Lytechinus pictus: one gene and its partner. The protein of the gene in region 1 purifies or fractionates together with the protein of each later gene. This does not show direct contact. Links are inferred from orthologs where the notes say so. Each region holds a gene or a part of one and is shown on either strand. Other genes may lie near its edges.

What was found.
Region 2: the proteins of myb-binding protein 1A-like protein (region 1) and NAD-dependent protein deacetylase sirtuin-7-like purify together in Homo sapiens (affinity purification with western blotting; 3 studies listed by BioGRID, with this or other methods). This does not show direct contact. The link is inferred for Lytechinus pictus from reciprocal best matches to the Homo sapiens genes MYBBP1A and SIRT7.

Annotation. Positions count from the first base shown.
Region 1 is NC_087246.1:16,072,577-16,089,037, reverse strand, and holds the start of myb-binding protein 1A-like protein, read right to left. Parts: upstream 9,061-16,461; coding exon 9,046-9,060; intron 7,272-9,045; coding exon 7,167-7,271; intron 5,898-7,166; coding exon 5,814-5,897; intron 5,096-5,813; coding exon 5,024-5,095; intron 4,645-5,023; coding exon 4,534-4,644; intron 3,907-4,533; coding exon 3,784-3,906; intron 3,297-3,783; coding exon 3,204-3,296; intron 2,744-3,203; coding exon 2,632-2,743; intron 1,716-2,631; coding exon 1,537-1,715; intron 919-1,536; coding exon 775-918; intron 1-774. UniProt on the Homo sapiens protein: May activate or repress transcription via interactions with sequence specific DNA-binding proteins. Repression may be mediated at least in part by histone deacetylase activity (HDAC activity).
Region 2 is NC_087254.1:24,731,069-24,747,843, reverse strand, and holds the start of NAD-dependent protein deacetylase sirtuin-7-like, read left to right. Parts: upstream 1-8,690; 5' UTR 8,691-8,713; coding exon 8,714-8,872; intron 8,873-9,881; coding exon 9,882-10,019; intron 10,020-10,471; coding exon 10,472-10,576; intron 10,577-11,080; coding exon 11,081-11,157; intron 11,158-12,051; coding exon 12,052-12,124; intron 12,125-14,528; coding exon 14,529-14,627; intron 14,628-15,111; coding exon 15,112-15,348; intron 15,349-15,905; coding exon 15,906-15,986; intron 15,987-16,262; coding exon 16,263-16,369; intron 16,370-16,775. Other genes in the region: uncharacterized protein LOC129269347, read right to left, coding at 1,706-1,872, 3,460-3,615, 4,649-4,808, 5,769-5,862, 8,478-8,623. UniProt on the Homo sapiens protein: NAD-dependent protein-lysine deacylase that can act both as a deacetylase or deacylase (desuccinylase, depropionylase, deglutarylase and dedecanoylase), depending on the context. Specifically mediates deacetylation of histone H3 at 'Lys-18' (H3K18Ac).

The DNA of each region.
Region 1 (16,461 bases):
ATAAAATTTAATGCACTGTATATACCTGACAGACAGCAAAGTTTCATAGATAACAAAAGAAAAACATAAATACATACAGATAAAATGGGTAAATGTGAAATTAGACAATCAAAAGAAAGTTCCAATTAGTGGGACCAAAGAACTCTATTGTTAATCCAGATCCCATTTGATGGACTAAGGTCTGCACACTTAAACTATGCTCAAAGATTGCTGACTGCCACTGTACTTCATAAAAAAGACAAGGTTGTCCCAACCTTTGGACTTGCCAGACACGGTTATAGGTAATGCAACAAGACTGGGTTATAATACTTCTAAATCAATACAATACATATCAATGGGATTCATGTGTATAATATCTTAATATAGAGTAGTATGATGGAAACATATATCCTTGGTACAAGCAAACTGTTATAAAAAGAAAGAACATGATGTTCAGCTTAATAAAACCATGCTATGAATGTATCAGTACTTCAGTCTATATCAACCACATGATCAGGTTGTACAGAAAAGCTGTACAGATTGGGTTTAATATCCGCAGTGGGAACGCCAGATTGGTCATAAATGTACCAATCCGGAGCAGACCATACTGGTCTGACCTGCGATCTGGAACTGAGGGGATGTGATCAAATTTTATTCACAACTTCAAAAATGCTTTAGAACACATATATCTTAAATCTGTTTAACTCTAATACCCAGACTTTTCTGAGATTGTAAGGCCAGGGGGGGGGGGGTTAATTTGCAGCCCTCCCCCGATATCGGCTAACTTAAACTTACATTACTGATGATGGAGTAAACTGTCTTTGACTTGGTGATATCATCAAACTTCACATGCCCAGGTCTTGACAACAGGCATTTGGCGACCGAGAACTGTACAAGTGGATCTTTGATGTTCTTTACAGCATTTGCTAGATTATCACTCTGTGGAAATATGGAAGACAGAAAGCAAAATAGTGATTAATGAAATTAAATGGCAACATTCATTTCAGAAAGAATAAAGGAAAGGACATTGAACAATAATTACTGTGTGGTTCAGATGCATTTGGTACGATAACCTAAAACAACTATGGTAAAACACATTTGGTCTACAATAAATAACCATTTGTGATAATCATTTACTTTGATGGTCTCATTGACACTCGGTTTACTTGGTTACTTTTGATTTGTCTAATTTGATCAGGGGACCGTTGCAGAAAGAGTTGCGTTTAAACGCAAGTCAAAAAATCAATCGCAAGTCCCAAATGCGCGCTGTTGATTGGTTGAAAATCAAGTTGCGCATGATTTTTAGAGTTGCGATTGATTGCAACTCTTTCTGCAACGGGCCCCTGACCAGTTTGTTGGTGATGGAACATTCTCTTCTTGGTCAATTGCTAAATTATTGCAACAGATAAGAAACAAATTTAGGTGAGAATAAAATCACAAAACAAATGATGAATGACAAATTGGAACTGTCCAATTTTCTCTTGAGTCTATCTCTAATCCAAGGCTCTTGCAACAAAAACCTATAAGATTAGCATCCTATAACTTATTTGTATTTACCATTTTGAGAGCAGCTGAATGGAGAATAGCCTGCTTGTTAGCCAAGTTGTTGATCATACTACGGATGAGCTTCTCACTAAACAGTGCCCTCAGTTGTTTAGCTTCAGACAGGGGGACTGCTCGTTCCAGCAAGGAAAATGCCAGGTACTTTGTTTCGTGTTTAGAAGTGCACAGACCATCTGCGTACAAACAATTTTTTACCAATGAGTAGGAATGTTATTTTCATGATACAAATAGCCAAGAACTTCATATATAATTTAATACAATATGCTGAAATTTCTACTGACATTCTAAAATTTGAGATATCAAATGGAAGCTCAGAGAGAAACATTTTAATGGCATTGTATTTTCATTTTCAAAATTAAACTCATTCATGTTGTCTGCCCATCATAGCAGGTAATTTACAGGACCACCTGCAGCAGTTTCTGATCAGACATTCAATATCCGCAGTGGGAACGCCGGACTGGTCATTGATATACCAACCCGGAGCAGACCATCTTGGTCTGACCTGCGACTTTCTACTATATATTTCCTTTTCATGACTGCCTTGCCTACAGTGTCACCCAGCATACAGCAGGCATTGAGCATTGTGAGTGCTTAGCATTGCGACTGGCAGGAATACATTCCTGGGGGCCGTTGCAAAGGAGTTACCATTATGGTAACTTTGCCATCCAATGGTAACTTGCATGGGGACAATGGTCAACAGCCAATCAGAATCAAGGATTCCATGGAAGTAAGCACTGGGTGGCAAAGTTACCGTAATAGTAACAGGACCCCAGGAGTGGAGAATGTGCAGAGTTCATACATGAGAAACACTGTAGCCAAGTATATAACATTGAATTGTAAAGAAGACATGAATGTGTAAATAATATGATATTAGAAATGAATTCATATAGTGAATCCTTCCCCAAGGAGTGGATAGTCCCAAAGAAGTAAAGAAGGAGAGTATGTGTGCAGACAAGAAAACAAGTGATGAGTAGGAATGATAGTAAAATATGTAATTTGGATTGACTGATTTACAAAACATGGGATTGACATGCAGTATTATGAAAGTGGAACATAATCATTATGGGGGTGGTAGTCCCACAAACTTACCATCTACAACAACCTTCCAGAACTGAGCCACTTTTGATGAATCCTGGAAGACCAATGCTAGCAACATATCACACACTGGATGGACAATAGGATGACTTATCATGGTGGATTTCTGGAAAATGAATAAAATTCAAAAGGAGGTTCACGAGTAATAAGCTTTTGACTTGTGACTCTTTGAATTTTGAAATGAGAGATTATCAGTAAACCATCATGTTGCAATGCCAAACAAGTATGCAGATAACTAACAATGAGTTTTTGATATTAAAGGAAACCAAAATCCAAGAGAATCTTATTGGAAAGAGTAAAATGAGAGGAACAATTCAAAACAAGTTTCATGAAAATCGGTTATGAAATAAGTGATTAAACTAGGAGTGATTTTCACTATTGATTGCATTGGTCAAATGTATAATCAATTGTATAATAATACTAATTAATGATATAGACTTTAAGAGCACAGAAACTTTTCACTAAAGTATTATTCTACTACACTACATAAGACTCCTAAAATTCTCAAAATGAATCATGAAAATCAAATATACAATCTATAGTTTGAACCCAGTCATTCTACATACTGTAAGAATCTGGATGATGTGGGTGAAGTTGCTTGGGTGAACCAGATCAACATGGCCATAGTGATTCTGAAGAAACTTGGATTTCACAACGTCCTAGAATGAAACACAAAAAAGGCAGCACTCCTCAGATTTAAATCAAATTGGAAACAGCATCAGCATTGTACATGAACAATTTATTTGTTATTATTGTCACTGTTATTCAATTATTATTTCTTATTCATTTAATTATAATGGAGTTCAGAAGGTAAATAAGTTTTCATGTCACATTACCAATATATTATGAGCTGCCATAGATCAAAACCTTGGGAAAGATTAGTGAAAACTTGAGGAAAGGCAGACAGGGAGAAGGTTAATAAAGACGTTGTATTTCAGACCTCTCTATTTTCCTGGCAATGAAGAGCCAAAATAAACATCAAAATTTTCACTAGCCTTACCAAGAACATGACTGCAGTGAAAGATCAAATCAACTTTTAAATATAAAAAATATTTATTTATCTATGACTGGTCGATAATCAACTAGATTCTGTGATAATAGGGGCATGCAAATAATTAGAATATAACAAATATCTTGGGGACTTACTGGAAACTTTTGTCTGCAGACCATGAGAAGGGCCAAATTATTGGGTGAGATATCCTCCCATCCTTGCTTCAAATCAGACTTCAGCATAGGCCATATGTGATCAGAGAATAGCTCGGCCGATGACTAAAGGGTTTGGAATACAAACATTGCACAATTATATTCCGTTCATGTGTATTGCATAACGTCTTCATGAGCTTTGACAGTACTTAAGATATTATTACCCTGGCCTTAGCCCGGCAACATTTTAGAGTGCACAAGCATTTCAAGGAATTAATTCCTACATATCAGGAAACTCCTGTAAATTATAAGAATTTATTTAAGCATCATAATACCCAATAATTTATTTTATGCAATCTCCCCTGCTTCAAGTTCTCATACATGTAATTCCACAATCTATAACTCCCTGGAAAATTTAAGCATACAATTTATAAAAAAAAACACCACATGAATATTAGGGATGTTTATCTTAAATTCTCATACATGTATTTATTAAATTTCATCTTACTTTCAGACAGGGAGACTTAACTCTGGTGGTACATAGAATTCATGCACACATAAATAAAAAAAAATCTTTATTCTATACGACTACATTACAAAATATAAATTCTATGCACTGAATACAATTAACAAGTAAATAGGTCAATAATATCTTTTCTCCATTTTTGAGTGGTAGTTCAGGCCTAAAAAATATTGAGGCTGCAAGAGCTGTTCAACAAGAACTTCTCTCTCAACTACATCAATAGTACTTACTCTCTTGATAAGGTCAATGACTCCTTGAAGACAAATCAATTGCAGATATGACTTCTGTTTTGACAAGGCATGTAGCTGCTCTAGGACGTACACAGAATCCGCTCCATTGTGCTGAAGATCAATCATATATTCATACATTACTTTGCAACCCCTACTCCCTTTTCAACTACCTTTTGCCATGGATGCACTGGGGTAAATATCACGTCGCTATTGTGTTGGAGGTCACATTGTGAGGTCAAAGGTCATTTGAAGTCAGACATTCAAGTTTACCAGCAATACTTTCTTGTGCAATCAAACTTGGTTAGGGATGCACTTGTGGAAACCTTCATGTTAAGTAGTCACAAGTTGGCAAGACACAATCTGGCTATTGCCTTGTTCTTGATTAATTCAAATCAACATTTTGTAAGAGGCAAACTTGACCTTTAAGCAATATGTACCTATTTTTCTTAAATAGAAGGGATAAAGCAGACTTGTCTACTTGTATACACACCTTGTTGAGTCTCCCACTCTGGATGACAGCAAGATAGGCAAAGACTTGACCAAAAGCATACTCCTTTTCTTCCTGTTTGTTGCATATAAAATATTTACAAATGAGATGAATCTTCAAAATAAAGTTATGATCTGAACTTAAATAACAAAATATATCAGTAAATGATGTGGGCTTAAATCACATCACTACTACTTTTTTTTTTTAATGATGCAAAAATGAAAATTATCAATGCTTTTTTCATTGATATTGCTGATAGTCCTAGCAAAGCTGGCTTGCGAGTTTTGTATCCTGCCTAAAGAAGAAACAAATCAAAATACACATCTGAAATGGAAACTTAACCCTTTGATTTGCCTGTGGGAATAAAAAGTGCTTTCCAGTAATGTTTGATCAACATTTTCACCCATTTTCATTCTTTGTCCTTGCTAACATGCAAATAAAGTAAAGATGTATAGATTTTATTTTTAAAAAATACTGCCAAATACATGGACATTACAGGGAAGCATGCCCCTCCCACTTCTGAAACCAAAATAAGAAAATAAATCAGAAAATGGGTAGAATTTCAAATAACATTTCGCATGCTGTTTATTTCATAGATCAAAAGGTGCTCCAGGGATTACCAGGTTTTAATTTTGAAGATTAAATACATTTTATAAGATATTATTTAGGAGTGTGTCACAGATACCATATCCACCAAGCTCGCTTCATGTCTTCTTGGCTTACCATACGACAATTGATCATTAGGTTTGCATGTTATCAAACAGCCTATAAGTGAGGAAATGGTAATGCTTACACTCTTCTTTCCAGACACCTGAAGTTCTTGCTTCATAAGTTTGAATACATCTTCCAAAGCTATCTCTTTCACCTTACAAAGTAACTGAAAAAAGGAGACAAAACATAAAAACAAGGTCAAGTCCATCCCAGCAAAAAAAAAAAATCATATGAGAGAGAAAAAAGAATAAATGACATTTGCAGTTTTGTGTTAAGCCACAAGGTAGGCACATCATGGATGATATGAAAATGAGAGTTGACAATGTCATGCAATCACCAGTTTTTAATTCATGAAATAAGAAACATTGTGAGTTTTTGACATATGACAATAAACAAAAATTGAATTCCAAGTGGGTTTAAACTTTCTTATATTTCATCAAATTTTCATGGAATTATCATTGTAAGGCTTGTTTCATCTTTTTAATCTCTTTTATTCATATCAATGTATTGTAGAGGTGGGCTTGTTTTTAAAAAAGGATGAACAAGAAATACAGAAATGATAAAATTACAGATTCTAAAGCACTGGGCTTGCAGGGCAATTTTGGATGTAATACCCATTTACAGGTATCGCCCATCACCAAAATGAAATGTATTTATGTGATCAATATGCAATGCTCTGCATATTTCGCCCATTGTTTGGTATGGTGATGTGAATATCTCACTCTCCATGACCTGAAAATGCTTGAAGCCAGCAACAGAATGAAAGTTTGGTGCAATACAGCACAATTGGTTGAGGCTCATAGATCTCTGCAGTTGTATTTTGTGTATATACAGTGGTTGTAAAGGGGTACTACAGACCGACATTGATATCTGAATAAATGGAATAAAATTCAGCGCGAGCTTAACCTTCTTCTTCTTCTGGAAACAGTACAGTCCACCGTCTGGTGTATTGTCGTACTGGTGAAGTGCAGCGTGCAAGTGTATGTACATTATCCGATAAAAAATTGCTTACAGCGTAAATATTTCATTTATATCTGATAACATATAAGTTACCGTGTATTGAATTTTAAAGGTACAGTTTAATTTGTTTTCCCGGGGAATCTGACACCATCTGGATATATCCAGAATAGAACAAGATTTATGACCATCAGACGTTATGCAATGGCACTAGACATGCCTGATGGTCATTACCTCAACTTTCTCTGGTCAGACAGGATAGCGGAAGGATTTCTCACTGGTTCACCAAGTTTGCTTCCCAAAAGAGGATCCCGAAAGATTTCTCACTGGTACACCAAGTTTGCTTCCCAAAAAAGAGGATCCCGAAAGATATCTGAAATTTTGCTGGGACTACAACTCAAGTCATCAATCCCACCACCTCCCCTCCAATTTTTTTTTTTAATTAAAAATAATTGCAGCATTTGCCTTTGAAACTTACTTCAGTAAGGGCTATTGCATAACCCTGTCTAGCACCTTTCCTTGATGAAGCTAGACCTCGCACAAGTCTTCTCAGACTATATGATACCTCTGAACAGTACTCATCCTGGATAAAAGAAAAACAAAAACAGTTGATCTTTATAATATTGCATTGTGGTACAGAATACGTAGAGGATGTTAATGATTTTTCAAAACCGATTTCAAAATGTACCTGATAAATCGATCAGTTTGGCCATCTCAAGAATGAAGGAAAAGTTCTTGCAAAGGAATTTTGCTTATCGGTGTCAAACTGACAACAGAGGCCAGAAGAAAATTAATAGGAGAGAATCTCTGTGATGATCACAACTAGGCCCGAGTCATTGATTATTTTGTAAACCGGTGTTCGAAAGCTTCAATTCGATCAAAAATCGATGCATTGAATTTTGAAGGCGGGAAAATCAAATATTTTCATACATGTGGCCAGTGCAAGCCCCCCAGGAATAAAATCAATCCAATATCCAACAATTAGAGTTATCTAAAGGTAAAGTACTTGATCAAAGAAGGGAAAATGGCCATAATAATTGTGCAAAATGGTTGCAGTCAACTTATTTGAGCAAATGGGGGACCGAATCTTGTGCAACATTGTCAGCCTACAAAGAATGTGTTAAAGCCCTCTTTCGTGCATTCAAAAATAAAATAAAAATAAATCCCGCAAAACAGATGGGCACAAAAGCTTCCTCTCATCTCCTTACGAGTTTCCTAGAAAATCAGCTGCGACTAGAAAACGTAAACATGTTGACCATGATATGGATGTTGAAGCTGGTCCAACAGTGGCATCAGTTCTACATACATCGATGGAAGATAAGGATAATGAAATAGGTCAATTGCATACATCTTTTCAAGAGAAGACAGGTGAGCTTGATGCTGCAAGGATTAAACTTGAACAACTCTCCTCCCAGTAAAGTGAAAATCAAGACATCAGAACATGATGCAGATGTACAAGTCTTCTTGTCTGTCATCTTTCCAGCAATGTCTGGTCTTCTAAAAAAACAATACGGTGAGCATCTTCCTGGTGGGGTGCACTTCAGCCCCTCTCCAGACATGTATGATGTAACCAAAAGTGTTGCAAAGCATAACAAACTTGCCGAACGTGTCCTAGCATATGCCGACCATCTTCCGAGATCAAGGCCAAATTCGAATCACCAGAGTCAGGATGATTATGTTCTCATTGAACAAAACTGGTCAGTGGATCAACATGAAGGAGGAAAGAGACCGTCAGAGACTAATCAAGGAAGCTCGAAAAGATGCCAGGAAAATGAAGAAGGTATATGAGAACGGAGAGAAGCAATTGTCCAAAAACGAAATGATCTGCTCAAGGAGAAATTGAGAAAAGAAGCGAGGAAGGAAAAGCAAATAAGAGAAAAAGAGTTGATGACTCAGGATATAATCTTCTATGACCCGTGGCAGAGCAGAGATCAAGTTGAGCAATCCATGCTTTATATCATTTGATTTCCGGGTTTCGGAGCGTCGCGTGAATATGCATGAAATTGCCAAGTCTCGATAATTTTCGATCGATACTGGAGTAGCGATGCCACACAATCCCCTCATTTGCCAGACCCTATTCCAACAGTACACAAAACAGGGGTGGATGAAATGATGTCGAAATCCCTTTTTTCACCATTACATTGTTATATCTCAATAATATGATTGAAAATGTTTACCATTCAATGTTTGTTCCTTTTTTGACGAATAAATGTGATTAATTAGAGGAAATCCAGTTTTCTCACTTCATTTTTTTCCACCGTAGTTCATTTCACGAAGCATTTCTTGTCACTGGCTATCTACTTCCGGGTTATGAGGGTGACCTTTTTCAGCTTGATTTCAATGTTTTTCTTACCCACAATGCACTGCAACATGGCTTCTCTGGAAGGTAAGAACTTTGGCAACTTTTTCATAAGAAATTTCATATTTTTAAATACTTTTGGGGGGCTCTGGAACGGCAGATTTTGATAAACTCGAATTATAGGTGCGATTCAGAGCTGTTTAGCGCGAATAGTAGGGGTATCTTCAATGATGCAGCACTTTTTATCTTATTTGTTGAATCGCGGCGAATGACACCAAACTTGTAGTAGCCATTCAGAGCCACGAATTTTAGCGAAAGCGGTAAATTCAAGGGAAAGTCCCTTCTCAGATTCCGTAAATATCGCCCCCAGACGCGTCCGAGAACCCGGAAGTGTGTTAACGTGTAGTCCCACGTACTGAAAAATGTTGATTATGATGAAATATTGTGAAGAGTGCGATTTAATGTTTGTGTTTTGGTGAGAGTGGCCAATACTATTTATTAAATTGATAAAAAGTGAGATTATATTACTTTACAAATCTATGGCTGGGATGTGTGTGTGGGTTTGTGTTCATGATTTGCAGGGATGAATTAACAGTTAGTTATGATGACAAATGCTGCCCGTATTATCGTATGGCCATATGCATAAGTGGGTGTGACCAAGCCAGGCTGTCATGTGATGTCTTCACCCCCACTTTTTAATTTGGAGCCTGTATCCCTTGTTAATAAGAGTAAGACCCTACAAATAAAAAGCTTGATTCTAGTTTAGGTTTTTTTATTAAATGATAAATGCACAGATTTATTTATGTTATGACCCTTTTCTCTGCTTCATGTTTTTGTCAAGGCTAGACTATTTTTTTTTTCAAACCATGAATACTAAAGCCCTCCCCCTTATCTCTTCCTACACATGCTCTTATTCAATATTTGGGAACCTTTTACTCATGGTGCAAATAATTTTATTTCAAGGTATATTTTGCTTTTCTCCTTTACCTACTTTCCACCACAGCTGCATCATTTTTGCATTTTATTTTGCATACCCCGTGTCCCAAAAATAAATTTGCCAATTTGAAAACCGCATTATTTGCATGTTTTCAAGGGTGATCCACAGTATATGTTTGTATTTTGTATAAAGAATGAAAGTAAAAAATAAAAATAAAAAATGGCTATTAAAAATTATCTTTGCAAATTTTAATGATTATTTCTATATTAATTACTATTCTAGATTATCTTTTTGAAGTATGGCTTCAACACTGGCTCATTATAGAAGTTCAATGATGATACATTTAACAAAAAACAAAAAATCAGTGTGAAATACAAAATAAATTCTATTCCAGGGGCTGCGGAAACAGGGGGTTTGGGGCAGCCTTGGGGCGTTCAGCCCCGTCCTTCTTTTTCCCAAAATCGTGTACAAAAACAAAAAAATTCCCATCTGATTATGATTTTATGCATATTCACCCCGCACCCCCACTTTCAAAACCTTTCTGCGGCCCCGTCTTTATGATGCTAATCCATTTCTTCCCTACATCCATTAAAAGGTACAGAAAGCGCATCTCGCGCCAACGTTTCTCACGCTGATGTTCTAGATTTCGTGAAGCAGCAGAAGAATGTGACTGCAGTAGTTCAACACCTGAAGGGTATTTTTCAGGATAGGTTGCATAATGTTCCGGATAAGTCAATTGGTTCTGCCATTACAAGAGTGAAGGAAAAACTTCAACGTATGAAGAAGGATAAAGTAGCAGCTGCTCAAGAACGGAGAGACCTAATTCTAGCTCAGGAATTTCGCTTTCCAGTGGCGACGGAGAGTAAGAGGCACCCTAGAGGAGAGAATATATGCGATGATCACACACATTGCAAGTTTGAAGCAGGCACAGCCAAGATCTCCGGTGAACTGAAGCAACAGAGCACTCAACTCCAAAAGACAGAAAGTAAGTTGGAAGTAGAAAAAGCTTGCACGTCCAACCTTCGTGCCTCACTGAAGAGGACAAGGGAGCGAGAGAATTATTATCGAGGGAAATGCACGAAAATGAAACAGGATCAGAAAGATGAAGACAGTGAAAGAATAACAGAACTTGAGACCGAGATGGCGGAAATCAAAAAGGAAGAAGTCACTCTCAGAAGTGAAAATAAGGATTTAAAAGAGAGGATAGATTATCTCACCAACGAAACAATTCCAACGTTTGATGATGACAAGCGGTGTTTTAACACAGAACTAACCACCTGCGTCTATGATTTGGACAACCAAGTAGGTGTAACCAGAGTATGATTGAGAATCTAACAGGGAAGAAATGTGAGCGACTCCCTTCCAAGACGACTGTTGAGAATATGAACATTCAGCGTCTCTGTGTGGCTCAAAACCAGCTTGCGAATTTTCCTCAAAAGAAGACACCACCTTGTATACGGACGAGACCTCCAAATATGGCGAGAAGATATTGGGCTACCATGGATCCGACAGTGACAAGAGATATTACGTTTTGGGTCTGAGGGATATTGCTACCAAATCGGCTTCGGATACGCTTGATACGTTCAAGGAGCTATTACGAGACATTGACAAAGCAGCTGAAGGACGCACAGCGGGGCAAAAAATTCTGAAGAACATCAGGAACACCATGTCCGACAGGGCAGCCACGGAACTAAAGTGGCATGAGCTTCTGAGACTGCATCGGACAGAGGTGCTGCCCAATCTGATTGAAAACTGGGACAACCTCACTGCTGACGAGAGAGCACCACTGGAACAACTAACATCCTTCTGTGGGCTACACAGTCTGGTACAGTATGCTGAAGTGAGTGAGAAAGGTCTTTCTTCAGTGGAAAAAGAGCTGTTTGAGGGACAACAGCTAGGTGCTGCGTCCAAAGGATTTTCCTTCATGACAGTAACAGCGTCATCCGATTGATCAAGACATCCTCAAAGGCATTTGCTCATGGAGGCAACAAGCAATCCGGGATGCATGGTCCTTTCAAGGTATATTGTAAGGATTTCTTAAAGGCTCATCATATGAAGTCGCTTCCCTTGGTTCCCTTGAGAGGGAACAGGTTCAACATCCTGTTCTTCAATGCTGCGTACATCTTCTTCCTTTCGTCACAAATGAAAAGCTTCTTGGAAAGCTCCGTTGATGTGCCCAACAAGTTGCTCAAGAGTGTGAAGGCCGACCTAGAAGAGCCATACGTCTTGGCAGGGTGCAGGGCGCTTGGACTAATCAGCAAGCTGGTCACCACACCCCTTTGGAGGAGCCTAGAAGTCCAAGCACATATTAGATATCTATAGATATATATAGGAAGGTTCTAGACACCCTCAAGCAAGGGAGCGAAAGGCCAGAGGAATTCATGAGGGGACCTGAGTGATGTACATATCAGGGTTGAGGAAGACCCTATCTTTAAGTGCCTAGTAAAACCTAGTGAAAGTGATGGTCTCACACAAACAATTCTTCAGAATGCCCTTCCATCTTTGGCAAAGGTAATGAGCACTCATAGTGAATATCTGACAGAATTTGATGACTCCACAAGAGCAACGTCTACTAGCACAGACAAGCATAATAAGCATGCTTAGCGAGTCTTTGCATACCTTGATCACTTGATGAAGGTGAGACCAAATGCCACCCTGCTTGCAAATGAAGCAACCATTGTTTTCACTCAATGAAACATCCGAGTGGTTGCAACAGATGTCCAAGGAAGAGGCTGAAAAGGTGGTAGACGATGCAAGGAAGAAAGCAAGAGTGGTGCATCAAAATTTCAAGGAGAGTTCGTCAAAGATCATTGAGCAGAAGAGGAAAGGCTTGGAAAAGCAAAAGAAAAAGCAATTGAAAGAAGAAAACTTCAAGAGCTGGAGAAGTACACCACTGAGATCCAGTATTATGGTCTGTGGCAAAGCGAGCACGAAGTGGAGATGTTAGCGTCGCTTCACTCAAATTCTTCTAAGATCAATGCACTAAAGGCTCAGCTGAGATTTCGACAGTTTGTGCTAAGACAGACACCTCCCTCGCCAGACGTGTATCACTTCAGTTTGGAGAGGCTGCTCCTTCTCCTTTGAAGAACTGGCAAAGAATGTGAAGGAGCTGATAAAGGCGGCATTCTCCCTCCTTCAGCCAGCCAGGATGGTGACAAGCCTCTTCTTGTTGGAAAAAGGGTGAGAATTACCTCTGTCAGAAAAAGACTGTATACTAGAAATTTGAGAAGATATGCATTATTAAATCCAGAGAATGCAGCATCACATACTCTACGATTTCACAAATTAAAATATAAAATGAACAGATCTTGAATATGAACTGTAAAAAAAGTTTGATTTGTAAGTCCAATTATGCTGCATAATACATGTATGTATTATGCTTTAATACAAAAACACCTCATTTGTTATTCTTGCTGTACGATAATGTCAGCCCATTATGAATCCTGAATATTAAAACTGATTAACATAAGCTTATTTCATTGTATTAGTATGGGTAATCCAGATGAGTGTTAACCTGCTCTATTTATCAAGGCTTTTCAGGTATTATACTTTATTTCAGGTATGTAAATTCATCTACTTTTTTATGTTTCATATGATTTCATTTACTGAATATTTACATCAAATATCTATTCTATTTTGTACATTTTCAGTATGATTTGAGTATTTTGATATCAGTTATTTTGCTGTCAATATACATGTTTATATTGCAATAACATACTTTGGTACCATTTATTGTCTATTTGTTTCCTTATTTCAAATTATTATTTCACAATTTGCATTATGCAATTGTTATATTTTATATTATTGAATATTATTTCATTTTCTTTAGGTAAGTTGTGCATTTGCACTCTTACTATTCTATTATTTTGCCTTGAAAATCAATTTCTCATAAATGTAAAAGGAAAGAAAATGTATATAGGAAATGTACTCATCACATTTATTCCACCCTTATCCCCCCAGGTACAACATAAATTCAAAGATGCTGATGGAGATGAGAAAGAATTCATTGGTAGAGTATCAGCCAGGTCCCTGGCTACCCATCCTGGTATAACGCAACGTACGACGGTGACACATCAGTATACTCCTATCAGCTATTGGATGACTACGAGAAAGGAGACTTGAAGATATTATGCTAAACAAAGTGGATCAGAAGTAAACATTTCCATAATGTATCCCCTTGAAAACATGTACCTTACTGAATACAAAATATAGTGTAACTACAAACTACAAAGAGTACTAATTCATATCTGGTTGATATCTCTTTTACTTGCAGTATTGGCGTGTGGTGTCTCCCCTTATCTACTATTTCCTGCGTCAATTTCTTGTCAAACATCAATCCTTCAAGAGTACTTCCTCAGTCTTGGATACCAACTTAGTGTGAATTCTTTATCTGCTTTCTTGCTTCAAGCCGGCTTTGACTTCCCCTAGCAGTGTCCCTTTTTACAACATCTGTTACCCCCTCATCAGGTAAGGTATTATCATGAATTATTTTAACACTAATTATAAATATTATATAAATTTTGGTTGCATCATTTCTCTTTTTCCTTCTCCCAGCATCCAGTGTGGTGTCGTGCCTATTCTCCTCCTTGGACTGTCTTGGTCATGACGTGTTGGTCAATCCCTCAAGAGTACTTCCTCATCTTGGATACCAACTTAGTGTGAATTCTTCATCTGCTTTCTTGCTTCAAGCCGGCTTTGACTTCCCCTAGCAGTGTCCCTTTTTACAACATCTGTTACCCCCTCATCAGGTAAGGTATTATCATGAATTATTTTAACACTAATTATAAATATTATATAAATTTTGGTTGCATCATTTCTCTTTTTTTTTCCCCTCTCCCAGCATCCAGTGTGGTGTCGTGTCTATTCTCCTCCTTGGACTGTCTTGGTCATGACGTGTTGGTCAATCCCTCAGGAGTACTACCTCATCTTGGATACCAACTTAGTGTGAATTCTTCATCTGCTTTCTTGCTTCAAGCCGGCTTTGACTTCCCCTAGGGGTTTCATTTTTTACAACATCTGTTACCTCCTCATCAGGTAAGGTATTATCATGAATTTGTTTATCACTAATTACAGGGTGCGACATAAGCGCTTGCCCGATTGCCCGGGGCAAGTAAATGTTAGAGTCGGGCAAGTGTTTTGAAGCAAAATTCTCCTATAGAAATTATATATTAGAAAGATTTCCCATATTTCACCATCAAAATACAGAAAAGAAAAAGAGACAAAAAAAGCAATATCATTAATTTCTTTCAAAAAAGTTTATAAGTCATGATTCGAATTGCAAAATTTGCGCCATTTTCTGCAATAAACACACAGCTCAGAGACGTACACACACACACAGAATCAATGGCAGTCTAGCATACCTAGCTAGCTAGCGCCTAGTCCATACACGCAACCGATGCTTGTAGTTAAGTTTCTACGGAGTACGGTGCTGCACGAACAAAGTTTTCTCTGGAAGAAATCTCCCACAGAACTGTCAAAATTCACATTTCTTACCAATGAAAATTCTTGTAATGTCCATATTTCCTAAAAATTGGGGTAGCTCTGTCATTTGTAAGCAGTAAAAGGAGAAATTTTCACTTCTGTTATGCTTCAAAAAGATCGGGTTTCGAATGATCGTCTGTGTTGCACACACTGAAATACATTGTTTGACAGTCCCACATATGCATTTGTGTGTATGTTGATAAACGTGGTTTCTTTCGTAACTATTTTTTTTAGCCAAGGAAATTTATAAATTTTCTTCTTTATTTATGACTGGATAGATTGAGCTTTCTTTCTTTCTGCCTATCTTTCCTTCTTTTCTTTTCATTCTGTCCTTCTTTTGAATCTCTCTGTATTTCTTTAAATTTCCTTCCTTTTTTGTTCATTTTTTCTGTTACTATAGCTGTCATTCTTTTCTTTCTATCTTTTTTCTTTCTTCCTTCCATCCAACCTTTGTTTACCTCTTTCTTTAATCCTTCCTTCTTTTTCCCCTTCCTTTCATTCTTTCTGTCTTCCTTCCGTCCATCCATTCTTTACCTTTTCTTCCTGCCTTTTTTCTTCCTTACTTTCTTCATCACTTTCATTCTTTCTTTATTTCTTTCCTTCCTTCATTCCTTCCTTTCTTTTTGTCTTTCACTCTTTCCTTCTCCTTCCTTTCTGTCTTTCGTTCTTTTGATCTTTCTTTTTTTCATTCATCCTTTCTTTTCCTATTTTTTCTTTCTGCCTTCCTTCATTTCTGTCTGTCTTTCGTTTTATCTTTCTTTTTTTCCTTCCTTCCATCTACAGAGGGTCGTGTGTTCGAATCGTAGCCATGGCATATTTTCCTTCAGCAAGAAATTTATCCACACTGTGCTGCACTCGACCAGGTAAGGAGTAATTCCTTGCATGCACTGAGCGCCGGTGATGGTAGCTTGAGCTAAAGCCGGGGTAATAATAGCAGCGCTTTGTATCCTCTGGCAAAAAGCGCTTTACAAATCCAACTATTATTATTATTATTATTACCCTTATACCTTTTCTTTCTTCCTTCTTTCGATCCTTTCTCTCGTCTTCTTTCTTTCC
Region 2 (16,775 bases), on another chromosome or scaffold:
TGCTTCACAAGAAACATATTTCATTTGAAAAGTTTTATTTTCTTATTTGCATCTGGCATTACCTGGAACACTGAGTAAAAGACGACGTTCTGTTTGTGTTCAAAACAGTGCAAATTGTTAACATTGGAATTATTCACATTATTTAAATACCATTTCAACATGCATTTGAAAATCAAATTTTGTACTGTTTCCAGGTATAGTGTCCACTCTCAAAATTCTTCCTCCCACTTTAATGCAACTTAATGCTTGTTGAATGACGATGAAATGTTTTAAAGCACAGTATTTCAGAACAAATTGGAAGACAAACATTCTAGGAAAGACATTTTAACAGCAGCAAAATAAATTCTATGAAGATAATACTGACTTGAATTCACACCCAAAGTAAATACATGTAGTAAATGCATTTTCAAATGAAGATCAAATTTTGCATAATTTTTTGATATATTTGGAATTTGCTATAAAAATGAGAAAAAATATTCAAAAGAACAATTATTTCTCATGAAAAAAACTCTAGAGATATCAAAGCAAATAAAAACATGTACATTTGAAGCTTGGTATACATAAGATCTTATAAAATATAACTGGTGTGATTCCCTGTTGTGACATGTTCAAACTGTCATCATTATTCATAATACTTCAACAAGGCTCATTGAATACATAGTATATATTTGTGCTATGGAGCTCATAGTACTGAAGTGTTATATGCGATCCTCTATCACAAAACGACCATTAGGACTTTTAGTATAGAGACCCGACAAGAGAAAAGGGTGAATCACATGGCACATCAAAATGTTCATTATTTGGCAACATTCTGAATTATTGATCTTTGTTTGATGCACTCAATACTGACTGAAGAACAAGTCAGAAATTTGGAGGGGGAAAAATCCACTGATCATGAATTATCTTTGAAGCCAAACAAATCTCATGCTTTTTTTTTTCACAAAGACAGATTTTTTTGGTAAAATTCATCACTATCATGATTCTAGGGCTATGTAAATAAAGGTTTACAATCAATACTTAATGACTATTGGCTAATCAGGTTCATTTATTTAAAACACTGACCAGGAATCATTCTTTTATACTTGTGTTTAATTGTAAACCTTTCTGTTAACAGGCCCAGGGGGGTGTTTCACAAAGATTTAAGTATGACTTAAATCGCACTTAAATGCCGACGCGTATCTTAAATGCAACGTGCAATCTAATTGATCAATATACAATAGTGCGCGTCCTCTTTACATGATCTCACCAATGCGGTCATGGCTTTTATACCTCGCACAACTAGGCATTTAAGTGCGACTCTAAGTCATAATTAAATCTTTGTGAAACACCCCCCTGATGGTTTAAGCCAACAGAAGACAGGACCAGGGTCCCGATTTATAAAGACTTGTTACAATAACAAATACACAATTTTTTTACAAGTTTACTATCAGCCAATCAAATCGATGAATTTCAGTAGCTTTAAATTGTAACAACTTTTATGAAATGGGGCCCAGGTCTTTCTGCAGGGAACATTGCTCAGCATTAGTTCCTTGCAGAAGGCAACTGAAACACGCGGAGTGGGGTTCGTACTAAGATACAAGGTACAAAGTACTGTTAAAATGCTTTAACACAAGCAAGTAACAATTTAGATCCCCCTATAGCAGCATTGTAACCATGATTAGATACTGTGGGAATGTTTTGAAGCAGGACCATGGGAACAAATATTTTATTTCTTTCTAGGTTTTTCTTCATCCCCATCTCCATCTCCAGTGCTCTTCCTCTTGTTAGATGGTCCATTTTTGGTTTCGAGTACAGAGGGGTCTAGCTTACAAGCCATGTAATGGGTCCATAGGGCCAGTTCCACTTTATGCGGGGTCCACTCTCCGGAGGGATCTGGACAGCAAGAATGTTAAAATGAAAAATCTGAAATTATTGGTGAGCCTTCATTGAAGACAACAGGATATAGTTCCTCCAATAAGTAAAACATGCAGTGGTTTCAAGTACATATTAAAACAAATCAGAAGTCTACAAAAAGTAATTATAAGAGGAGATATAACATACTGTTTGGTGGTACATTACATAATTCAAGGTTGAATAGGCAGTGAACACGACATTAGATGGCACAATATAGGAAATGTCCAGTGAGCGGAGACAGAAAAGCTTGAATACATATTTCCAGATGAAATATAAGGAAATGGCAAAATTTAGATTAAGAGCAATGTTTTACATGGTAGTAATGTACATTGTAAGTACTAAGATTTGTAGAAAAAACAAGTGGAACGCCTCTGGCGGTCTCACCTGCATCACGCGATTCAAAATAACAGCAGTGCTGACTTTGAAAACTAATATAAAATAATCATTCACAAAAAACACCATTCATATAATGATACAATACTACATTCATTGACATTTGACCTTGATCATGTGACCTAAAACTTGTCAGTGATACTTGATTACCCCTATATCCACATTTTATACACTATATCTATATACTTTGAAAGTAATGACAGCAATCTAATAATAACCTCTAAAATGGCCAAAGTTCAATGACCTTTGACTTTGGTCATGTGACCTGAAACTCGCATGAAATGTTCAGTGATATTTGATGACTCTTATGTCCAAGTTTTATGAACTAGACCAATATACTTACAGAGTCATGATGGTAATTCAACAAATACCCCCAATATGGCCAAAGTCCATTGACCTTTGACCTTGGTCATGTGACCTGAAACTCGCACAAGGTGTTAAATGATACTTGGTTACTCTTATTTCCACATTTTATGAACTAGACCAAAACACTTACAGGGATATGATGGTAATTCAACAAATACCCCCAACATGGCCAAAGTTCATTGACCTTAAATGACCTTAGACCTTGGTCATCAGGTCATGTGACCTGAAACTCAAGCAGGATGTTCAGTAATACTTGATTAACCTTATGTCCAAGTTTCATGAACTAGGTCCATATATTTTCTAAGTTATGATGACATTTCAAAAACTTAGCCTTAGGTTAAGATTTTGATGTTGATTCCCCCAACATGGTCTATTAAAGTTCATTGACCCTATTACATTTGACCTTGGTCATGTGACCTGAAACTCAGGCAGGATGTTCAGTAATACTTGATTAATCTTATGGCCAAGTTTCATGAACTGGGTCCATATACTTTCTAAGTTATGCTGTCATTTCAAAAACTTAACCTTCGGTTAAGATTTGGTGTTGACGCCGCCGTCGGAAAAGCGGCGCCTATAGTCTCACTCTGCTATGCCGGTGAGACAAAAAATTCAATTAAAAAAATACGAATTTTCAGCTCACTCACTTCAACCACTTAATTTTTTTTTTACAGAACACAACATCACATTATTAAAATCTCAGCCCACTGCAACATTTATACCACTGGTCAACTATCCACCCTATCCACATGGGATTTTAACTGTTCAAATTCATTCTCTTTCCACAATCTCCTTCCCATTGTACATTACCTTCCTTTTTGAGTCTCTTCACACAGTCTTGAACCTCTACTGCATATCTTTTATAAGCAGCTTCAGTGTAAGCCAGTGGGGACAGGCCTGGAATAGGCAACATACTTTCATCTGCCATGAATGGGGCATGTTCAGGGGCTCCTGCTGCTAAGACGGCTGACAAGAAAAAAAGAAAAGAAAAGAATTGAAATGAATTAATATTCCATAAGTTAATGATTGTTATAGCAGCTAAATCATTTGGATAGGAATAAGTAATATTGCTCAACATTTAAATCAACTGCAATACAATAGACTCAAGTACACCCCCGGTTGATGCTTCATGTATCTAAAATGCAACCTAAATGACAAGATCTACGCTTTGAAACTTTAAATGGCGTCACAACCAGGCAAACATTTCTACCCTGAACATGGAAATCCAATTATTTGATACCGTTTGTATAGTGACCCCTCTACACTGAAAATGAAGATAAAAGCATTGAAAATAAAATAACAGCAACGTGATTTTGATAAAACTACTTATAAGGACTAATTTTGAGATGTTAGGATGAGCAAAGGTGCAAACATCACTGATCCTTGAGCAGACCCACCCCCCATCAAGCAAGGATTCTACCTTGAACTGTAACGTACAGTATCCAGGGGACTAGGGATATACCTGGGGGCCGTTTCATAAAGCTGTTCGTAAGTTAAGAGTGACTTTAAGAACGACTGGTGATCCTTACGCGCAAAACCATCTCTAATGAATATACCATTTGCCATAAGAAAGGATCACCAGGCGTTCTTAAAGGTATTGTTTAACTACTGAGCAGCCGATTAAAAAAATTCTCAAACCAAGATGAAACATGTGTACAAGTGCATGTATTAGAACTAATAAACCCTGAAAACAACCATTATTGAGAATGAAAAGCTAAAACTACAAGGCAAACCCCGATTTTGTAAATATATAGGCGTCTTATAGACGCCTAAATAGTACACATTTGGGATGAAATTAAGATGATGTTTTCGGTCACTTTATATTTCAATTTTTGAAGCACTAAATAATTATTTTCGAACGCAATTTTTTCTGGACTTCATTTTTGTAACATATCACAGACACAGGTAACAAGTGTGACCTTCTAGCTCAGATTTTTTAAAAGTCAAACCAAAGTTAACCAATCACTTTAACTTACAAACAGCTTTATGAAACACCCACCTGATGCTGTTGCTGGACCAACTGCCTTTAGCACAATCAACTCTTTGATGGCAGCACCCACGTTGGGTAACTTCTTGAAGGCTTGTCGGCTAGACTTCTCAACAAGGTCTGGGCTGTTGGTCTGGACCATTTCAGTCAATCTGGGTCGGAACTTTCCTCTCTGGTGAAACGAGAGAAAATTGAGAATATGAGTGACATCAGAAAATTCTGATAAAAAACAAAATAGAGGAGCAAGCTATAGGTGTTTCTAGCTAGCGGCTAGCCCCTGAGCTTTGAATACTTTGTTCGATTAGAATGTTTTGATGCTACTATAAAGGATAACCTCAAATGTAATGATTCTATGCACTTTAAATATCAAAGCGGTTCTTTAGTTATTGCAACAAAAGCAGCAAAAAAAAAAGAAACAAAAACCCACAAACAACAACAGCAACAAACAATATAATTCCTTTATGTAAATCCTTAAGCATACAGCATAACTTGAGGTCCCAGGGACAAGTCTCTTTCTGTACTTAGGGCCCTGTTTATAAACAACTACAAGGCATCAACTGATATTTGCCGCACTAAATCCAGGTGTAGTGGTTTGGAAGAATTCATATCACGAAAGCAGAAATAATTATATGTAAAAACAAGGAAAACAGTTGTACTTGGGACCCAATAGTCATCAGCCTAGTATATAGTATAGCAAAGTGTCCTTCTGGGAGAGTTTGCATTGGGCTGGGGAGTTATCCTATAACCCAAAGTGCAGAAGTGCCTTCCAACCAATGGCCCGTATTCTGAAGTCAGGTTTAACTTAGACTACGGTCTACTCTGTGCTAAAATTATGGGAAGCCAAATTTAATAAATCTGTTTATATTGTATATTTCTCATGTTTACTATTTCTTTTTCTTTTGCTCTCATAATGAAGAAAAATACTTCAGTTATCATTCCCAGACAATTATGAACAACTTGGGTGTCATATGATTTGATAAATGGAATATATACTGTACCGTTAGGGATTTGTCCCCCAATTGGCTCTCCATAGTTTAACCACAACTTTAAACCAGGGTTTAATTTAAACCCGAGTTCAGAATACGGGCCACCAAGTCTCCAATCCCTGGTAAATGTAACAGAATTTACTTACACTCAATTTCCACTTCATAAGCTTTGTTAACTCCTCATGTGTGATGTATCTTTCTTTCCTTCCTTGTATTGACTGTGAAAGTTCTGTTTGAAACCTGTATACAACAACAACAACGACAATAACTCACTTGTCAGTTAAAAAAGAATGCCAGAGTATAATCTGTAAGACCTACAATTGTATGATTACAATGACTACACTGTACATAAATTATTGTCCTATTATAAATTTGATGTTACCATTATCAACATCAATATCATCATCATTGATGTTAGCTATATCTTTATTCATTATAATTATCATTATCATTAAAGGGAAATCTAACCTTCGTCATAAAAATATGTGAGAGAGGAGAAAAACAAGTAAAAGAGTACTGGTAAAAGTTTGTAAGAAATGGAGCAAGTAATAAGAAAGTTATAACTGTTTTAAAATCAATATCCCTAAGACTATTACATTTCAAATTAACTGAATAAGTAAATTATAACAAGTGGCAGGGACAACTTCCCATAGGCCATGCACTTAATTATCAGGGATTTGTAATTTAATCCAAGTACCTATTCCCGTGCCAGGGCAGTAATAAAAATAAATAACCAAGGTGAAAAAAATGTAACCAAGGTAGCACATTAAAAATCTCATCATTAAAGAAAAATATCATTTGAATTTTGAAATATAACTGCTTTTCTTTCTCTTCTAAGGAAAACTTTTTTTATTTGGGTTTGATTCCCCTTTGATAATCAATACTGTTATCATTATCCCACTGGGGGATCCAGGGGGGGGGGGCAAAGCCAGCCCGTGCCCCTCCCTCCTTTTCAGAGGAACGATTAAAATTTGAATGTGAAGATTTTTTTTTGCTTGTCAAATTTTTTCGTGGATGAAAAATCCTTTTTTTTTTTGGAGAACCTTTTTTTTTTGCTTGTCAAATTTTTCCTTGGGGAAAAAATGTGTCCCCCCCTTTGGAAATTGTGGATCCGCCCCTGATTATCACTTCCATCGATCATCATCATCATCACAAGGGTTATAAATTAGTATGGGTCCTTTATTCCTTGAATAAATTCTGGCAAGAATATTGTTGACCTTTCACATGAAACAATAGCTTGTTAATGGCCATGCATGGATCTTGGTTATTTACAATGTTGTGCAAAAGCACTTTGCAAGCCTTAAGTGCTTGTACTGTTGCACCACAATAAAAATCTTAGAGGGCACTTTATCACCACAATCACCTAGCTGTATTATTGTTCGTTTTATATAAAAATCATTGTTTTGCATTTATCATTAGGGCCTCATAACTGTTATTAATAGTGATAATATCACTGTCTACATTGCAAATGGCTAATAATCTATAGACTCAACAAAGAGAACCGATATGGTGGTTGCAGACTGCAAATGCCTAGTAAATTTACCGAACCCCATTCAAGACAGGCCTGGGATGAAAGGATTACATTCATAAAATAGCCGAAGAATGTGTCTTTGAAACAGATATAGGTCTATATATAGGCAACAATGATACTCCTGCATCAGGCCTGCCTCACGCTGATACTTTTTAGGCTTTTTTTTGGCTCATCTTTCAAAATTCTTTCTTGGTTCTCATACGGTTTAATTTCACACATTTGTTAGAGGATTACTATGGAGTAACTTTACAATCCAATGTCATAATCGATTATGAGAGCAAGGATTTAGTCTTCGAATGAGGCATCACACACACCATCATATCACATAGATCTGTAATTGATTCATGACATTGGATTCTAAAGGTAAGCCATTAATTCAAAACTATATTTTAGAGGTCTATTATTAATAGGGTGTCTGGAGAAAAAAAATATTTTTCTTATTTCAAGAAAATATCACATTTTCTTTGTGAATTTGAAGAGAAATGACCTTCAGACTGACAGAAATGTAACATTTTTGAAAAAAATCCAATTATTGGCTTCAAAAAAGAAGAATGAAATTAGGTAAATTTTCAGCATTTCTCTGCCATAGACTGTGTAGTTAAGAAATGGACACACACAAATCCAAATTTTTAGCTTCCGAGAGCTGTTATAAATCTATTATTAATGCCAAAAACTTGTCCATAAAGATCGAGTCCAATAGGATTTTTTATGCTCTTTCTGATGGTATGATTTTTATAAAGATTTGAAAACCAGATCACAATGAAAAATTGCGACAAAGTGAACAAAATTGTGCAAAACAGAAATTTCATTTTCCCATAGAAAACGCATGGAGAAATGGCAATCTCAACACACACAAAAATAAGGGTTTGCAATTTATCTCTAAATCCTTATTTAAAATGACCATATAAACTTGTCCTTACTGTCAAAAGAAGCCCCCGAGTTTTCTCTTTCCATACATGCCAAACACAAGTTAATAATCAATTCAGATCACATTTTTCTAGTAGCCTGAACTTCCCCGAAAAAATGTGCCATATTTTCCCCTAAATTAGCCTGTTTTATGCTGACACTTTTCAGTGTGGCTTCATTATCAAAATTGTTTTGTATTCCTAGCTGACTATGATAATTGATAGAAACAAAAGTCTATTTCATATCCCAACCACTAACTAACTTAATAAGAACTAATCGTCATGTTCGTCAGGCCATATCCCTTGTCATGACTGATGACTGACTGGAAATCATCATCAGCAGATATCTGATTTGTGTGTTGTCACTCAGTGAATCATGATGATGATGATTCAGTCCTCGACGCTCGACCCCGTTTTACCACTTGTCAAGGTCCAGCAAATTCTTGCTCCCACCAGGTTTCTGGATCTTAGAAGCCTTGAGATTCAAGACATGGTTGTAGAGTTTAAGAACTTTTGTCCATTCCTCAGCAGAAGCCGTCTTGAAGAAATTGGTGGTTGCAGACATAGCTTAATGCGACAGGTCTCAGATTTTAAATGCAGTATGCACTAGCTCCTTACTTTTTGTGCGTAATTTGTCTCGTTGACTTATTTTGAAATGATCGAAAATTTCAGTTGCGCGCCGTTGGTCAAATTGAGCGGAGGAATGTCTGGAAAATCGTCTTTAGCAATAGATAGACCAGCAAGAAAATGTCGGAAAGTTTCTCATACGACCGCCCTTTACAAAAAACATAAAGCGAAAGAAAAGGAAAGTCAGGTAAGGGTGTGAAATAGAAAAGAATATCAATGTGAGTTATGCAAAGCAAATTTTCCCCGTGACACATGCCCCATTCGTTAACATCTGTGTGGGGTCTCGTAATTTCTCGCACATGATTGTCAAGTCTCGGACTCACTCGAGCCTCTAGACAAAAGTGAATGAACGCGCGCATTTACGCATCCGAAAAAAAATTCAATATGCTTAAAACCTTGCAACATCCTTCCAAAGGGAACTTGATTGAATAAAACGATGAAGAAAAATGGTCAAAAACACATTTTCAAGTTTGTTGAACATGTTGAACTTGAAGTTGAACTTGACGGGCCTCGGACTCGGAGGCTCAGGCCTCAAAGTAAAAATAAAGATATAATAACTAGCACTGTCATTTTGTTGATTTCTCAACTTTTCCCACAGAAAATACATGTTCGGTAATAGTTAATACAGTATGATGGGGTGACCATAATTTGCGCACATTTTTTTATCATGAAGTTTATTTTCAATCAAAAAAATTCTCACAGTTCACACTACATTAATCAAAATCATAAATACGAAACGGAAGGCAAGATTCAATTCCAAAGTCAAATTAGCTTGACGGAATTATAAAGTAGGCGAAGTGTTTCTTTCGCCGGTATCGCGATCTCAAAATTCCATGACGATCGACTAGTGCGTGCTCGGCTGAAAATGTGTCATAAAAAAGTGTGACCTTAAACTAAAGGCTTAATTTGTGCATGATCGTTTCGCAAAGCTTTAGAAAATAAATCACTTACAAAGGTAAGATAATTGTATCAGATGGAGGTTAAAATGCCATAAATTCGGTTGATGTCATATTAGACTTATTTGGATACCTCTGCTTGCAAACTGGCGATTTCTTGATGCTTGTCGAGAAGTTCGGATTTTCTCGGAGCAGACGCAAAAGCTAACACAATCGAGGCAGTTCACAAATTCGGTCAGTTTGTCCTGAATCGGTTGGTCAGCTTAAAATTCACATTGAAATAATTTATTATCATCCCAGGTAAGGGCAATCCTGAAGAAGAACCAGGCTGATAGGAGTTCAGAGGAGGAATGCATCATCAAACAAAACAAAAAGGTTGTCAAGGTTCTGGAAAAGAGGGCGCAACTGAGGGAGCTTAATCGTCAGAAATCGCAAGAGGTATGGAGACATTGGTCAACCCTGGTTGAAATACTGAAATGACTTGAATAACTGAAATAGATCCCAATGTCAACACATGGCATTGTCTGGTTTATGTTTTTAAACTATGTTTTTAAGCTTGGTGTACAGCTGGAGGTCATGAATGAACTCTTTACAGCTGGAGGTCATGATGAATTTTTTACCCAAAGTCCCTAGAAGTCGATTTGACCTATATCATCAGGTATAGAGGTTTGAAAATCTACATGGATGGAATTAGAGTGTAAGGACTGGTATGGGTAATGATTAAAGCCTCGAGAGAGATTTTGTAAAGGGTTAATGATTATATTTGAGTATGTACCATTCCAATTTTACATGATTCAATTTTCGAATTTTTAGATATGTAGCACCCCCTTTCAGATCTTTTTTTTTTAAAGAGACCCTTTGAAATAGTTAACATTTTTTTTTCTACAAAGATTCAAGATTCTGCTGAAGAACTAGAAATCAAGGTTTCAGAGCTTGCAGAAGCAGTAAAGCATGCAGAAAACCTGGTCATCTACACAGGAGCTGGAATTAGTACAGTGAGTAATGATGGTAGAAGTTTTGATATCCAACAAGAGGTGGGCAAGATAGGTGTCAAAATTGGCCTTATTACAGAACCAAATTGTACATTCTAAGCAGACTGTTTTCCTAAAAAATAAAAAGTAGGGGCTATACATAACACATTTACATGTATAGCCGTATAGCCCACCCATGTGAGTTACATTGTGGCTTTCTGATAATTTTATTTTGTCTAGGAGATGGGCTCTCTGCAGTGGTAGGTTTTCTCCAATAATAAGATTTGAATAAGTAGATAGAAAAGAAGTGTATGTTTTTACCCTTCAAGGGAGGGGGCTAAATCTGAAAAAGAAAACACTATATGACTAAATGATGATTAGTTATGTGGAAAAGCATATTATCCATAAAAGAGTGATATTCAATTTCTTTTCATTTTGTACAGTTTTTGTTTAGCATGAATATATCTGTTCTAGGCAAATTTTTCATGCGTGTTGAACCTCTTGTGTAATTTATTATGATTTTGGCAGGCAGCCTCTATCCCCGACTACAGAGGACCAAATGGAGTATGGACATTACTTCAACAAGGGAAAGGGAGTTCACTTCAGTAAGACAACAGTATTTTCTTTTATATTTTTACTCTGTGAACTGCACCAATCATTATAGTACTATACACTATAAATTGACACCATACAGTACACTTAAAACAACATATAATATACTTCACTAATAAAGTGCTTACTCTTCACTAATTACACCTTCACAAATTGACACACTTGAAACACCATATGACATACTTCACCAATTGCATATAAGGCAATTTACAAATTAACCCCATATAATCCTCTTAACCAATTACACATACACTTCACAAATTGAAACCACAAACACACTTCACTAATTACACAATAGGCCTACACTTCACAAATTAACACCTTATACACTTCACAAATTGACACCATAAGATAAACCTCATTAGTTTTTACACCAAATAATTCACTACACCAATTAACACCAAATACTAAACATAAATCTGTAATGCTGCTATTTATCTGGCTTGATATGAATTTGACACCAAAGGATTTTTCCTGGCCATTTTCAGAATTCTAATAATCAAAACCATGGTTTAAAACTGTGTTTAAGTCATGTGATGCCAAACATGTCCAAAAAATTGTTTATACTAAATGGGGAAGAGAAGCAAGGGCATATAAACATCCAAGGCTAATTAAGGCCATGTATTTCATTGTATTCGAATCAAGCTCTAATTATCATAGATTGGGATTGTATATCGCTTTTCGACATTGCCTAATTAAGAAATAATGTTTGTGTTGATTGTTGTCATTACTATGCACACACATCTGAACAGTTTACAGAATGTGATCATCAGGATACACTCATTGGAATATATAGTGAAATTCAACATTATTATTTTGATTGTTATTATTTCATGTGTTGAATTCGTAGCTGAGAAAGCTTTCTTACTTTCTGTTTTGTTTGTCAGGAACAGCTCTTTGGTGGATGCAGATCCAACCCTTACTCACATGGCTCTAGCCAAGCTGGTGGAAGAAGGCATGGTAAGCTCTTAATACCAATCTTATATGACTACAATAATGATTTATTCATCCATGCATTCACTTTGTTAACCCTAATTCTCCCGGGGGGGGGGGCCATAATGGCCCCCCCCTTGACAATTTTCGCGATATATCTGCTGCGCAAATTTTTTTGACCTCGCCGCTCACTGACTTTTTACTTTCAAGTCTCGCGCAAATTTTGAGACCAAATTTGTGACGCCCGGGTATACGGTTACGACATTACGCAACATTATGTAAGTGCATGTCAGACCCAAAATTGCTCATAAACGTGATTTCATGTACAAATCCAATGCAAATTGTGTATTTAGCCAAAATTCATAAATGTATCATTATTTCTAGTTTTACTGATTAAACTGAATTAATTTTGCCTTGTTTATGATCAGAACTAAGTCTGGAATGATTTCCATTGAAAAAACAATAAAAAACAAAAAGTAAAAAAACAAAGAAATACATAAGAAATTCATAAAACAATAAAATACATAAGAAATTGATTTCCGAACCGAAGTTTTTTTAATTGCGATTGTTAAGATTGCTACAAAGAATTTTTTTACCAAAAATTAGCATTCTAGGAGCTTTATTTAGTGAATTATAGCAAAAAGTATGATTTATGCATAAATTAGCATAATTAATTCATATAAAATAAAATCTCATTATTTTGGAAAATTTTACCATACAGCCTTGCAGATTACATTGCACACTACCAGTGTGCAAATTTTTGCGTCGCTCGCGCAATCGGCGGCCGAGATCTTAAGGGGGGGCCATAATGGCCCCCCCCCCCGGGATTGACAAGAATCAAAATACCCCGGGAGATTGAGGGTTAAATTAGTATTACTTCTCATATTGAATTTTTTTATCAGTGGATTAATGACTTCATGAATTAATGTATATATTATTATAATTATGATAATCATACATGTTTGTATAGTGCGTATCACTTACTTTAACAGAAATCTCTTTGCGCTCTACAGTAATGCGGCATAATTACCTTGACTTAAGCAGAGCAGCTGTCACATGCTCTGCGTTTCAAGGAATAAATTCATGCAAGTACCCATTAACCTCACATTGTTTGAGTTCAGGACATTGTGGATCAATTTCTTGCTAAAGGGAATCATGCCATGGCTGGGATTCAAGCCACAACCCTCTCTTTTAAAGTCCAGAGACTAATCCGCATGTATTCATTCATTGATTTTTCTTATTTTTTTTATTAATTGATTTATTGGTATGTCATGATTGACAGAGGCCCCTGTTACAACCGGTAATGTCGCAGCAATACCTGATGTCTTATTAACGGGTTATTTACATCTTGGATCAACATTTTATCCACAATCCGGAAAGTGTGACTGGGCCTGATATTAATGCTCTAATAGGGCTTACATTTCTATGCAGTCGGTACAGCCCTTTATAGCTTTTGGCTATCCAATGGTTTGGCATAATTGGGAGCGTCACATACAACTTTACACATGCCCGATGACCTGTTCTTTGGTGCCAAAACAGATTATCAATCATTTTGATTTTCATTTGATAAAGTTTAAATCCAATATTAAACTTTCAGATTTAAATTCTTGTAGTAATTAAAATGCAAAGTTGTCTATTTGTCAACAATGTCAGAGTGGTATCTCGTAAAAGCCCCTTTATTATCATGTTACCAGTTTAAAAAAAATCAGAAGGGTATATGATAAAAGTCCCAAATCATGTTAACAGTTGTCAAAAATTTCAGAGGGGTATCTTGTAAAAGGACCTTATCATGTTACTAGACCTGTGTTTTTCATCTATGGCCTTTTTTAAAAGTGTGATCTATATAGCTATATCCATTTTTGTTGTGTACATGAAATCCACTTTAAGTAAATTTTAATCCATTGGAAGAAAAATGCCAGCATTGTGGATGCCAGGTTGCTAATAAATTTGATTTAATTCAATTCTGTCATGTTAAGTTGTGTGTAAAGTCATGCTAAAGTTTTGCATAAGTAATTAAGTAACACCAACATTAACACAAACACTGAGGCCCAAATTCTGAAATCAGGTTTAATGTAAACTCTGGTATAAAGTTGAGGTTTAACAATGGATAGCCAATTGTGACACATTCTCTGAAGGTAGGCCTACAGATTCAATTTATCAGCTTAATTGACACTCAAATAATTCAGAACTACTAGGAAGTAGTAACTAAAACAATTTTATTCATCATAAAAACATAACAAATGAGCACATTAAATATTAGAAATATATAATGTAAACAAAGTTTTGATAATTTTGGCTCCCCATAATTTTAACACAGAGATAGATCATGGCCTAAGTTAAACCTGAATTGAGAATACGGTCCTAACAATCAACATTCATAACATTGATGAATGCTGAACATTGATTTATTTTTGTATCAACCCTGTTACAGGTGAAGCACATTGTATCCCAGAACTGTGATGGTCTTCACTTGAGGAGTGGGGTTCCTCCGGATAGGTTATCTGAGCTCCATGGAAATATGTACATTGAGGTATGCTGTTGATCATTATACCAGCTTTACATCATACAATGTATAAATCACTCATATACTTGCTATATCAGAAGTCCCTAAAGCACTCTATAATAATGCAGTATAGTGCACCCTGGGTAATGAAATATTATTATTGTCTACATTTTACCATGTTCAGGCACAATATTTTACAAGAAGAAATTGTGTTTTTGCTCAATATTCCTAGCTATGCTTGATTTGATTGGGAGTGACTTCTTGGATTACTTGAGCTAAGCATAATGTCTAGTTTTTGTCAATCAGTGGGAAGCATTTGAAAATGTTTATATTTCATTTGTTATATATGCAAATATATCGTCAAATATTAATTTCTTATTACATTTGTTTCATAAATTGATTAGTTTCTATTTTTTTGTTTAACTTCCCTTGACAACTATGATATTCCTGTCAACTATTTTCTTATGAAGTAATTTGATGTCTTTAGAATGTTCCATCTTTTCATTTGTAGGTTTGCACAGAATGTGAGCCAGAGAGGCAATACGTGCGACTGTTTGATGTTACAGAACAGACATCGCTCCGGAGGCATAAGACAAGTCGGGACTGCCACAAGTGCAAGGAACCTCTAAGAGACACCATAGTTCACTTTGGGGAGAAGGGAGTGGTAGACAAACCCTTAAACTGGTCTGGTGCCATGGATGCTGCTGAGGATGCAGATGCTATACTGTGTTTGGGATCCAGTCTAAAGGTAAATGCACTTTGGTGAGAAGGGAGTGGTAGACAAACCCTTAAACTGGCCCGGTGCAATGGATGCTACAGAGGGAACTGATTCTATATTGTGTTTGGGATCCAGTCTGTAGGTATTAGTGTCATGTTTCAAGTATAAAGCGTTTGTAGAGAGCTCCTTCACAAACCTCAAGATAGTGCACTTTCATTGCCTAACTTCACAAATGTCATTGGCTTACCACACGAGGTGATGATGATTCCTCTGATGTGCATGTCCTGACTATAAATCGGAACTGTAATCATAGACCATTTACTATATGCATTTGATTTTACTTAATAACCTTTGTATGACTAAGTTGCAACTCTTGATTTATTAAAATAAAGGTGTTGTTCAAGTGTCAGGTCATTACTGTACTACAATGGCATACATGGATTATAAAGTGAACAAAATTATTTTATCAATCACTCTAGTGTTGCAGTGAATAGAATGGGAGCATGCTTCTCTGTCAATGATTTTCAGAAATTTGTGCAGCTCAGTTAGTTTGTTATTAAACCAGAGGTAAATTATTGTCTTTCCAGGTTCTAAGAAGATACCAGTGCCTTTGGAACACAGACCGACCAAAGAGTCAGAGACCAAAGTTATTCATTGTCAATTTGCAGGTGAGAGGGCAAGAAACATTCCTAAGCGTGTTGAAGTTCACCATAATTTCAAGTTGGTTTTAATCCTAATGGGGTCCATTATGGCCTCCTTAACGCTTTGCATAATACTTCCTGAACGCGAAAATATAGCGCCCCGAAATGTTATGACTATTTTCTTTGAAGTAAGCATAATAAGAACTGTAACAATGGCTCAAAAATGTGCAATTAGCTCTCAAGCATAGGCCTACAAAAATACATTGCAGCCTAATCATTTATCAAAATTTTCCTGCATTTCAGTGGACGCCCAAAGACAGCCAAGCATCCCTAAAGATCCATGGACGATGTGATGATGTGATGTTACTACTCATGAAACACCTAGATCTTTCAATACCTCTTTATACAAGGTAAGAATGGCATGGATTGCAGAGAAAATCATTGAAAAGTCATTGGGTATGTGTATTATGAAACCAGGGCCCTGTGACGTAAACATAAAATCTGTTTTTACAATTGTTTTTAACTTCATTTGCATTATTTGCCATTGATTAATGTTACAATTGATTTTACAATTTAATGTATATTTTCAGGGGTCTGTACTTAAGCTTGCATAAAAACAAACATCAAACCAAGAGTGTTAACTTTCTATGCCATACCTATATGATTTCTGAATAATTCTTCCTGCCAAATCATACCTAAATCTGGGTCTTCATTTATTCAATATTCAAGTATCCATCATTGTAATCATGAGATATGGATTTCAGGACACCGTTTTCAGCCTGTAGAAATTTCTATGTTGGAACTTCACATCACTTT